Linked DNA regions of Danio rerio. The protein of the gene in region 1 purifies or fractionates together with the protein of each later gene. This does not show direct contact. Links are inferred from orthologs where the notes say so. Each region holds a gene or a part of one and is shown in the gene's direction. Other genes may lie near its edges.

Region 1 (3,757 bases):
ATTTCTGTTTAACTGATAGCAGATTTTTTTTCAACATATTTCTAAACATCATAGTTTTAATAACTCATTTCTAATAACTGATTTATTTTATCTTTGTCATGATAACAGTACATAATTTTTGACTAGATACTTTTCAAGACGCTTCTATACAGCTTAAAGTGACATTTAAAGGCTTAACTAGGTTATTTAGGTTAACTAGGCAGGTTAGGGTAATTAGGTAAGTTATTGTATAATGATGGTTTGTTCTGTAGACAGTCGAAAAATGTTTAGCTTAAAGGGGCTAATAATTTTGACCTCAAAATCTTTTTTAAAAAAATTAAAAACTGCTTTTATTCTAGCCGAAATAAAACAAATAAGACTTTCTCCAGAAGAAAAAATATTATCAGACATACTGTGAAAATTCACTACTGACCTACTGTATTGTCGTTAAATAGAGAAAACATTTACAATTAACTTTTATTCTAAATCTTAAACCTTATTTTTGATATAATAAACCTATAAAAAGGCTTGAAGCACCGCGAAAGGCCCATATTAAAATTAATTTGAAAGCTAAATTGGCTATTTTTGTTATCCATGAATTTTCAAATAAAATCTAAAATTATGAAGCTCTATATTATTATTATTCTGTTTTAATTTTTTATTATTCAAGTGGCCAAATTTTGAATGAGGAAAGTTAAAGCTCCACTTTTGAGAAAAAGAACCACCCCATTTCATCATGCTGACTATGGGCTTGACATATATATATATATATATGTCATAAATATATATATATATATATATACATAAATATATATATATATATATATATTTAAGACATTAATGTGATAGTTGACCCAAAAATAAAAAAATCTGTCTCTTCCATCTTTTACTACTCGATGACTCTTTACTTGCTTGTTCAAACCTTTCGGTAAATAACATTAGGTCATTACTGAGGCTGAAAAAATTGTTATGTTGCTATATATGAATATTGCTATATTATGTCTATATAACTGTAGAAATAACTTTCAATAATAATTTTAATTAAATCAAAAGCCCTGTCATTAATTATCTAATTACATAAATGAGTACAACACAGTACAAAATGTCTTGTCTTGCTTTAGATGAAGACTTGTTGACATTTTCTTAATCATCTACTCTTTCTTTTCTTTACTCTTTGGCGCTTTCTCAAATGACTTACATTGGCAGTTGAATGTTTGTAGTGTACAGTTTCTAATGTGCACGGAAATCACCAAGTAACTCATAGTTTCGCAAACAAAAATGCGCACAGTAACAACACGGTCAGCATCGGCAGCTGCGCAATGGCTCACCACATAGTTCACGTACGTGCGGGACAGACAAACTTGCTATGATCATTTCTTTCACCCACGTTTTCAGTTGGGTAATTTTAGGGGGTTTACGGCAGAACGAATTATGATAGGATGGGGGGTTCCAATGCGGTGTTCTGATTGGCTGCTGGGTTCTGCGATCATGTGGGCCGTTGAGTTTAGTAGGCGCTGCTGTGAAACCGGCAATTCGCCACACGCGCTGCTGCCAGTGTCTCAGCTAAAAGCTTCACAGCTACCGGCGCAGGAGGTGCTTCACCTAAATCACGTCAAACTCTTCCCAAAAACACATTACTGATTCCCTTTCGGTAAGTTCACTTTAGCTTTTTAAGTTAAATATGTTCTACAGTTTATTTTTCACTACATCTTTTTTGTTCTTGTGCGTTGCGTACTGCTTTCTGTTAGCTCCTGCGCAGCTAATAGCCATGTGCTTAAAGTATGTGATTAATCTAATATAGAGGTATAGTTCCGGTAGTTTTTGTATAAAAAATATTTCATATTATGAATGCTATGATTATTTCAGACGATTAAAAGGTCAAATCCGCCTTAGGTCGCTGGCTGGGTCTTTTTGTTAGTCGACGCTGTGAGGATTAGCTTTAGCTGCATTTGCTTGACCACCAGCCGACATTTCCGACAAAGAGGGAGCACACGTTCACGGTGTCGTTAGGGTGTGTTACGCTTCTTCTGATGTTTAAGATCAGTTTAACAAAATTTCTGCGTATTGTGTTGTCATTCGATATATATTACGATCGTGTAACATTAATTGAAGTCAGCGCGGTAACGTTACTGGGCACGTGCCTGATTCATGAATGGCGAATGAAGAATTCTAGGACGTGGATTAAATTGTGACCTTGATCAAGTAGTTTTCGTTAACCTTTCGAAAACGAAAGAAATATTGATTATCTCTTAGGTACGGGGCTCAAGATGGCAACGCGTCGCTGTTGTCCAGGCCTACTTGGCTCAACCTTACAATGAATTCATCAGATTGAAACAGTTTTCCAATAGGAATAATTTCCCACCCTTCACTAGGAGTTAAAACATCTAATTGAACTGCTGTTCTTTTAGGGCGCGACGGAAATGTATAGACGCTGTTGTTAAACGTCCTCATTGCGTCTAACGTTACGTCTTCATGAGCTTAACAAAGGGATTTGTTTCGGTTTCAACAAGCGGCCTGTCCCGATTTCCTTCATCAAATATCGTTTATAGCGGTTGATATTCAAATGAGTTCCGTCAGGAATGGGAGTTGCCTCTATCAGGATTTTCAAATCCAGATAACGTTAGCTTTCCTCTGAAGGACGCATAAGGAGATGTCGCAGGGCAGTTCCTTTTGTGGTCCTCAAGAAGCAACCATGTGTCTTTGGAACCACATAAGGGTGAAGAAACAGTGGAGGTGCTTTTTTTATAATAAGTCATTTTTGTTTTAGTTGAAACCAGTTGACCAAAGAAATGGTGATGGAGAAGCCAAGTGCCCAGCTTGTCGGGCGAGAGTTTGTCCGACAGTATTACACCCTGCTGAACCAGGCTCCTGACTACCTGCACAGGTGACTTGCCCTTTGTTAACGTATAACATTCCTTTTTTTGGTAGTTTATATTGCAGTAAAGCTAAACTTTGCTGTTGTCTTAAGGTTTTATGGCAAGAACTCCTCATATGTACATGGTGGACTGGACAACAATGGAAAACCAGCAGAAGCAGTATATGGACAGTCTGTGAGTATTATATTACAGTTGTTGTGAATTAAGTTGCCCCTTTTAGACTATTATAACCGAACCTAACATTGTTTTAGAGGTTTTCTGGAATAAGTTTTGTGCGTCTTGGGTAAAAAAAACCCCCACATTTTTGCTTTTTTTAAGATACATTTCACATTACTTCTAAAAGATTTTTCAAATAATTAATTTGAAGACAGTCTTTAAAAACCTTTATTTCCATAAGCTATTTTGTGCCAGTCTATAAACAACAGAGAGTTCAGTTTAAGCATTTACAAGCTTGCATGAGAGAGGATTTAATCATCTACGCCTGAATAAGCCCAACTTCCCTTTACAAACCAATAAGACCACCTTTTAACCATTTTTTTAGCAAATGCTGTGCAGTGCTGCAGTGACTTCCTCATCCTGAGTGAAGCATGATTGTGGGTGTACCCTTGGTCTTGAATGTGCATGCTCTACCATGTAAAGTGGTCATCATGGAGTTCCTCTTTGACACCAGGGAGAAAAAAAATCCAAATCAAGTTTCAATCAAGAGCAAATTTTAATAAAAAATAATCCATATGTGCACAAAAATATTTCCATTTTGTGAATTAAATCAGAATCTAACTCTTACATGGTTTAGATGAATCTGCAGGAATTGAAACTATTAATCCAACAACCAATCATATTTGTTTATCACTGACGCACTTAAAGTTTTGGGGTTTGCTTCACCAATAAACCTCTCCATTTTG
Region 2 (3,477 bases), on another chromosome or scaffold:
CCTTAGGTCCTAATTGCGCCTTTGCATCTATCACACAAAGGAGAGATAAAAGTATACAACTTATTAATTTTGGCTTTAGTATAGTGTAATCTATGCATCACTTTAAATTGGATGAGCTGTAGTCTTACATTTATAGAGCAAGAGTGAATACGGCTCAATCCCTCCTCCAAAGTAGAGGATGGGATTTCAATTTGTTATTCTCTCTCTTTAAGGTGTGCAGTAGAAACCGAAATATAAACTTGGTCACCAAATGTAAATGTATTTTTAACATTTCTATTTAACATATTAATGGTTAATGTATTTAAATGTTCGGTATTTATTTATTTAGTTATTAGTTATTTTATATTTACTAAAATTAAAAATGTTGGCGACCATTAAATGTCTATATTCCATACAAAATATGAAGCTGATTGGTCAGGTCTTATCACATGACTCGCTGTGTGCTCGTAGCATTTTGAAGATATGTGCGCCTCCATTGGAAATAACGAACTTGGATGCAGGAAAGAAACGCCATGTATGAACAGCCACCTTCATTTGCCATCTCCAGCAGTTGATCTTCTTGCACAGACATGCTGGATTTACCTAATTTGTTGACAAATGGGTTATGGATCTATTCCTTGGTAGTTCATGGGTTCTTCACTTGGCCTTTTCCCCTTCACAAAGAAACTTTCCAAAGACATCTGTTTCTTACTCCTTTTGCTAGCTTGTGAGTTAAATTTGGGGAGCTCGAGTGACCAAGATGTAACCGAGAATACAGTCATTTTTTTAAATAAATGATCCTTCTGACTCGGATAATAAATAAAACAGAAATATTTAATGGTTTCTTGTGCAGGCCGGTACATATTGATCCAAAGAGCCGTACCGGTTCGCAGCCCAGGGGTTGAGGCACACTTGTAATGCATTAAAACTTTCAAAAGTAACTTTCACCAACACTGAAAAAAATTATTTTAATCTATTCTATTTTAATTATTTATTTATTAATTAATTAATTTATTTTATTTTATTAAAATATAAAAATATTTTATTATTTTATATTTTATTTTAGTGTTTAATAATGCAAACGCAAAACAAAACTACTTTATGCTTTACTTTATAGCCATATTTATGTAAAAAAAAACTTTTATCTAAAAATATTTTTTAAATAAATGTAAAGAAAGTTACAAAGAACTGATTTTCCTAATTATAATATATTATTATTTGAACATTTTGAAAATTGCACATTTTTAAGTTCTAAAATCCCCACATAACATTTTTTTTTTTTTTTTAATTTATTATTTACTTATTCTCACGTTGTACCAAACAGCAAAACAATCATTAACATCCATAGTATGAACAAAAATACCATACAAGTCAATGGCTGTTTTTTCTCACAACATTCTTCAGTACAGTTTCCCTTGTATTGAACAGAAGAAAGAAACTCAAACAGGCTTGAAACAAGTAGAGGATGAGTAAATAAATAAATGTTCATTTTTGAGTGAACTGTCCCTTTAAGTGTATATACATTTTATCTTTGTAAAGCCGCCTGCTAAGAAACTTGGAGATGGACGAAAAGTGACCTTTTTTGAGCCGGGATCTATGGAGAAAGCTGGTCTTGGTATGTGTTTTGCTGTCATTTTTCATACACGTTTTAGTGAAGATTTCCTGCTTGTGACCAACTCTTATCTTCCTTATAGTGGTCAGTAAGGAGGAGGATTTCCGCCTTCCCTTCCTCAGCCATCAGCAGCTTCCGGCTGGCATTTTACCCATGGTGCCTGAGGTAGCACAGGCGGTGGGTGCCAACCAGGGTCCCCATGCCAAAGACTACGGTCGCACAGCTGCCCCAAACCCAGCCAACGCTACAGTGACGGCCATGATTGCCAATGAGCTGCTGTACGCTGGCACTTCCCCGACCGCTGAGGGAATACTGAAGACCAACAACAGCCTGGCACACAGACCCCAAGGGCCCCTGACCAGACCATCTGAACAGCTCAGCTACCTGGCCAATGTACAGGGCTTACAGGTACTGAATATGTCTGCAAATACACTTTATCAACCCAACATGTTTTGATTTATTGATTTGTTTTGGCACAGGTTGAATATAAAGACTTTCCCAAAAATAACAAGAACGAGTTTGTGTCTTTGATCAACTGCTCCTCTCAGCCTCCTCTCATCAGCCACGGCATCGGCAAGGACGTGGAGTCCTGCCATGACATGGTGAGCATCATGTTAAGCTTTATACAGTCGATGATTAAATGATTAACCCTCCTGTGAACATTTTCATCATTATTCAAAATTTTCCCAAGAGATGTTTTACAGAACCAAGGACATTTCAACAGTATTTTTTTTTCCTCTGGAGAAAGTCACATTTCTTTTAATTTGACTGGAACATCAGCAGTTAAAAAATATAGATATAATTTTTATATTAAATATTATGGCGACGCAGTGGCGCAGTAGGTAGTGTCGCCTTACAGCAAGAAAGGTCACTGGTTCGAGCCTTGTCTGGGTCAGTTTGTGTTTCTGTGTGGAGTTTGCATGTTCTCCCTGTGTTTGCGTGGTTCTTCCGGGTGCTCTGGTTTCCCCCACAGTCTAAAGACATGCAGTGCAGGTGAAGTGGGTAGGATAAATTGTCCATAGTGTATAAGTGTGAATGAGTGTGCATGGATGTTTCCCAGAGATAGGTTGGAGCTGGAAGGGCATCCTTGCGTAAAACATATGCTGGAATAGTTTTCGGTTCATTTAGCTGTGGCAACTCCAGATTAATAAAGGGACTAAGCCGAAAAGAAAATAAATGAATGAATGATTATTAAATATTATCAGCCCCATTTTTTCGGTTGGCTACAAAACAAACCAGTCGTCTAATGACTTGTCTATTTAACCTAATTAACCTAGTTAAGCCTTTAAATGGCACTTTAAGCTGAATACAAGTAGCTTGAAAAACTAATGGTCAAATATTATGAACTGAAAAAGACGTTCCTTAATTCATTCATTTTCCTTCGGCGTAGTCCAAATAAAACTAAGGGGTAAACTAATTAATCAGGGGTCGCCACAGCAGAATGAACCACCAGCTATTCCAGCATATGTTTTACACAGTGGATGGCCTTTCAGCCGCAGCCAAGTACTGGGAAACACCCATACACACTCTTGCATTCACACACCAATTTAGTTTATTCAATTCACCTACAGCATATGTCGTTGGACTGTGGGGAAAACTGGGACAACTATAGAATAGAATATAGAATACAACTATTCATAATTCTGATGTTGAAATATTATGTTTGAGATTTGTGCTTGTCATTGACAACATTGAGACCATTTTTTTTCACTGGTAAAATGAGACATTTGTCATTTTCAGATTGCCTCTTGCATTATATTCAACAGGCTAGAGTAGTTAATCTGACACTGGTACACATTTATTATCATGCACAACACTGTGTTCGCTATGAAAGAAAAATCATATCCAATGCTTGTCGTAATCATAACTTTAAAATGTGATATGAT
Region 3 (3,757 bases), on another chromosome or scaffold:
TCTTAGCTTTAGACCATCATCCCATGTTTCCTCATCAATATCAATAACCAACTCTTCCTCCCATTTGGTTTTAATTCAAAATACAGTATTTAGATCTAATAATTTAATAGAAAATTGAGGTGAATAACTGCAAAAAGGTCCACTTTTTGAAAAAAAAGAACCATCCCTTTCACCAGGCTACTGGCCTGTATTCCCAGTATAACCCAACCCAGTTCAACAATAAACTTGAAGCTGTGAGATTTCATGATCCAACATCCACAACAATAAAGTATTGCTGAAAAATAAATTAGTGGACCTGTCACGGGGCTTGATTACACATTTCATGTCAATTCTTTGATTTTACGGATTTTTACATACAAAATCAATCAGTTGTGCCTAATGCATCAAATTATTCAGAGTGAGACCAGTGTTTTAGATTTGATACATTTCATGATTGTTTTTCATGCGGTTGCACGGTGTGTTATGAAAGCATCTGCTCAAAATAGAAATTGCATCTCGCGTTTGACACACATTATATTTATTTATCAGTATTCCTAAATAACGAGCTTTTTATAAAGTCTGGTCGTTTCATGAAACGTACATTTCGGAGTTTTTTGTGAATCAGGAGTGGGTCTGTCGTCAAAAACCAACCAGAGCCACCCAAATATAGCAACTACACAACTGGCGCTAATAGGACAAACCCGGCGAACCAGGAGCCGCGAGCACCGAGTCCGCATCGACCAGCCCCCGACAGCTCCACCAATCAGATCTTCCAGCTGTTAGTAAGTGGCAGTGTGGTAGACCAATCAAAGCCTCAAACTCTGCGCTGGGCGGGGCGTATAGTGGAGAGGGGTGGGGATTTCGGGGTCATTCACAGTCTTGCTGCTCCACTCTGACGGCGTGTGTTGGAGGGGAAGGGTGAAGTAGCACAGCATCACAGTCTTATCAAAGAACAGACGTCCTAATCAACAGCGTTTTCAGATATAACATAGAGGATTTTTACGAGAATCATCCCGACATATGCAGGAGCCGCGAGATCAAGTGCCAGAAGGTGTCGGTGCCCGTTGATTAGCGGCTGCGCTAGCTGTTGTGCTAACACCTCGTTTACATCCACCGTCATCAGACAGCATCAGTCCAGCTTCAGACCGGCCACTAACGGCACTCCCGCGAGCTTCCCTCGCGCTGTAGGCAGCCGTTTTCGAGTTGGCTTGCCTTGCTGTAAGGGGTGTCGGAGCTGAACCCCCTCCCTGTGGCTCCTGTGTTCCCCCGTCACCTTTGCCCCCTCTCTCACCCGAAACACTGGACACACAGAAGCGGCCGGAGAACGGCGAGAGGCCCGTGAAGCTGGGGGTGGTACCGGACTCGCACGCTATCGTAGCGCCTAAAGAGAGGCACAGCCGTGGGGAAGCGACGACGAACATGGACGGGTTGGCGGTGGAGGTGCGCGGCTCCAACGGGGCCTTCTACAAGGTAACTTCATTTAAAATGAACCCATTTTAAACCATAAAGCTCCAGTGTACGCATCAGCGAGCGGGTCGGGACAGCCGAGATGTGATGCAGTCATGTGTATCACTTTCAAAGAGGCCCGAGACCTAATGATCATCGGCCTGGTTGTGTGTGTACAGTGTTGTTTTCTCATTTCTCAGCTATAAACAGGGGAATCACCGAGTCATTTTAGCAGGTTAGCTAACAAGACAAGAAGCCAGTGGCTATATCTCAAAATCAACCGAGGTGCCCTACATAGAAAGCATTTTTGGGAGATTTTATGAGAGGATGAGCAGGTTACTTGGTTTTGAGAGACATGATGGGACATTTCATCAGTGCTTGAAGGGGAAGTTAAGGCCAAAAATGATATTTCTGCCATCATGTATCATCCTCATCTTGTTCACAACCCTTTCTTTATTCTTTGTTCCACAAAAAGGAAAGGCAGTCAAAGTGTGGACCGACAGTGTTTTAATTATTTCCAGGCAGTCTAAGCAAATGTTGTCTGATGTTGTCATTCTTCCTAAATGATGATCACTTTTTATTTTTGGTTTTAACTGTTTAAGATAGATACTCTGTGGCTGGACTAGCTTATTAAAGTGTCAGGTTGGGTCGTTTAATTTTCATATTGGTTGTGAATTCACAGTGATATTCTCTTTGTTTGGTCAGTTTGAGTTCAAGTTAAACAGTGGGAAACCACTTATCTTGCTTTCGTGAAGAACATGCTGTATTACATTTAAAAAAGGTCTCTATATCAATGACTAGAGTATGGATGGTCATGTTATGTCATAGGTTGTGATTTAAGGATAGTACTGTGATTGTGTCGGCTGTTTCAAGCTGTAGAAGTCTGAGGGGCCAAAGCAGGTGGAAGAGGAACAGGTGATCTCTTTGCTGACACCCAACACTCTACAACCCCCTACCAAAACTGACCAACTCTCTTCTTTTCTGGTCTCATCATTTGCTGTCTTTACGTTTTTTTAGGTCTTTTTTAGTCCTAGTAGCACCTATTTTATTTGAATACTCTTTCTTCTTTTCAGGTTTTTAAATGTAGCATTTAATTGTTGCAGGCTTTTCCTTAAATTTGAGTTTACATTGACTATTTACCACTTAATAAAAATAGTTTGGTCTGAGATTTGAAATGTCCTTAATACAGTGGTTCTCAAACTTTTTTCATCAAGTACCACCCTCAGAAAAAAATTCTTTCTCCAAGTACCACCAAAATAAGCAATATTGAAATACAGTAGCGTAGTATGCCCAGTAAAGCAGCTACAACTCTGCACAGTTTAAAAAAAACATGGCATATTACCTCAGAAATAAAGGCTATATGTCATATATGGCATATTATACACATAATTTTTTATAAATGTTGAAATATATGTAGCATGTACATGATATATGTCATTCCTCCGTGTACCACTAGAAGGAAGCCCGCGTACCACTAGTGGTACACGTACCACAGTTTGAGAACCACTGCCTTAATAGATACAACATTGGTTCTAAAGTCTTGGGTCTTGTAACCAAACTATGAGTTGGAGCAAGTATACAGCAAGTATACAGTGTATACATAGTGTAAAGTCTGCCCCAATATTGATGTTTTTTTCCATAAGTCAGAACTTGTAAAATAATTTTTAGTCATGCAGTTTATTTCAATTCAAGCTTCTTCAAGGTTCCCTCAAATGCTATGAATGAAGATGCACATGGAGACCTCCACGTGGCCGGGGGTCTTCGTCATACACTACTTATCTGCCACTCATCCTCTTGGGTCCTGCATGCCTGTAGTGTTACATATCCAGAAATACCACCCTAACGTAAGGCCACCCTAACGCCTCTCCTGCACAGAACTGGCCAGCAGACACTAATATGTAAATTCACAATCTAGTATGTTGGAACAGTTTCAACATGGGACAGTTTATATTAAAAGCCTGCCCAGCTGCTTTTAGTCTGTTTTGCTGACTTGTAAATTAGCAGGCGTTAAATCTTCATTTTTAAAAGCTTGTAAAGGGAGCTCCATTTTTGGACATGTAGATTTACAGCTCTTTTTACGCTGGTTTAGTGTCTTGTCCTATTGACGTGCATAAATTAATACCGTAGGATCATCTTTTATAGTTGGTTCATTATTTGGCAAGCGTGATAATGCAGGTTAATGCATTAAGGGGTTGTATGTATATGCACATGGCTCTAAATAGGCCTGCATACAGTATGTGCTTGTGCCAGTTTTCCGGAAACTAGCCTGCCTCTTCCAAGCAGGTTACATACTGGAACTCGTTCTGTCTAATTTTTTCATTCACCCTCGTCT

The links.
Region 2: the proteins of g3bp1 (region 1) and stau1 purify together in Homo sapiens (affinity purification with mass spectrometry; 3 studies listed by BioGRID and IntAct, with this or other methods). This does not show direct contact. The link is inferred for Danio rerio from reciprocal best matches to the Homo sapiens genes G3BP1 and STAU1.
Region 3: the proteins of g3bp1 (region 1) and fxr2 purify together in Homo sapiens (affinity purification with mass spectrometry; 3 studies listed by BioGRID and IntAct, with this or other methods). This does not show direct contact. The link is inferred for Danio rerio from reciprocal best matches to the Homo sapiens genes G3BP1 and FXR2.

Annotation. Positions count from the first base shown.
Region 1 is NC_133189.1:30,207,346-30,211,102, reverse strand, and holds the start of g3bp1 (ras GTPase-activating protein-binding protein 1), read left to right. Parts: upstream 1-1,514; 5' UTR 1,515-1,630; intron 1,631-2,746; 5' UTR 2,747-2,768; coding exon 2,769-2,863; intron 2,864-2,947; coding exon 2,948-3,029; intron 3,030-3,757. UniProt on the Homo sapiens protein: Protein involved in various processes, such as stress granule formation and innate immunity. Plays an essential role in stress granule formation.
Region 2 is NC_133181.1:48,977,215-48,980,691, forward strand, and holds part of stau1 (double-stranded RNA-binding protein Staufen homolog 1), read left to right. Parts: intron 1-1,518; coding exon 1,519-1,594; intron 1,595-1,673; coding exon 1,674-1,999; intron 2,000-2,070; coding exon 2,071-2,193; intron 2,194-3,477. UniProt on the Homo sapiens protein: Binds double-stranded RNA (regardless of the sequence) and tubulin.
Region 3 is NC_133182.1:22,701,910-22,705,666, forward strand, and holds the start of fxr2 (fragile X mental retardation syndrome-related protein 2), read left to right. Parts: upstream 1-1,335; 5' UTR 1,336-1,398; coding exon 1,399-1,449; exon of another isoform or gene 1,450-2,613; intron 2,614-2,943; exon of another isoform or gene 2,944-3,757. UniProt on the Homo sapiens protein: mRNA-binding protein that acts as a regulator of mRNAs translation and/or stability, and which is required for adult hippocampal neurogenesis. Specifically binds to AU-rich elements (AREs) in the 3'-UTR of target mRNAs.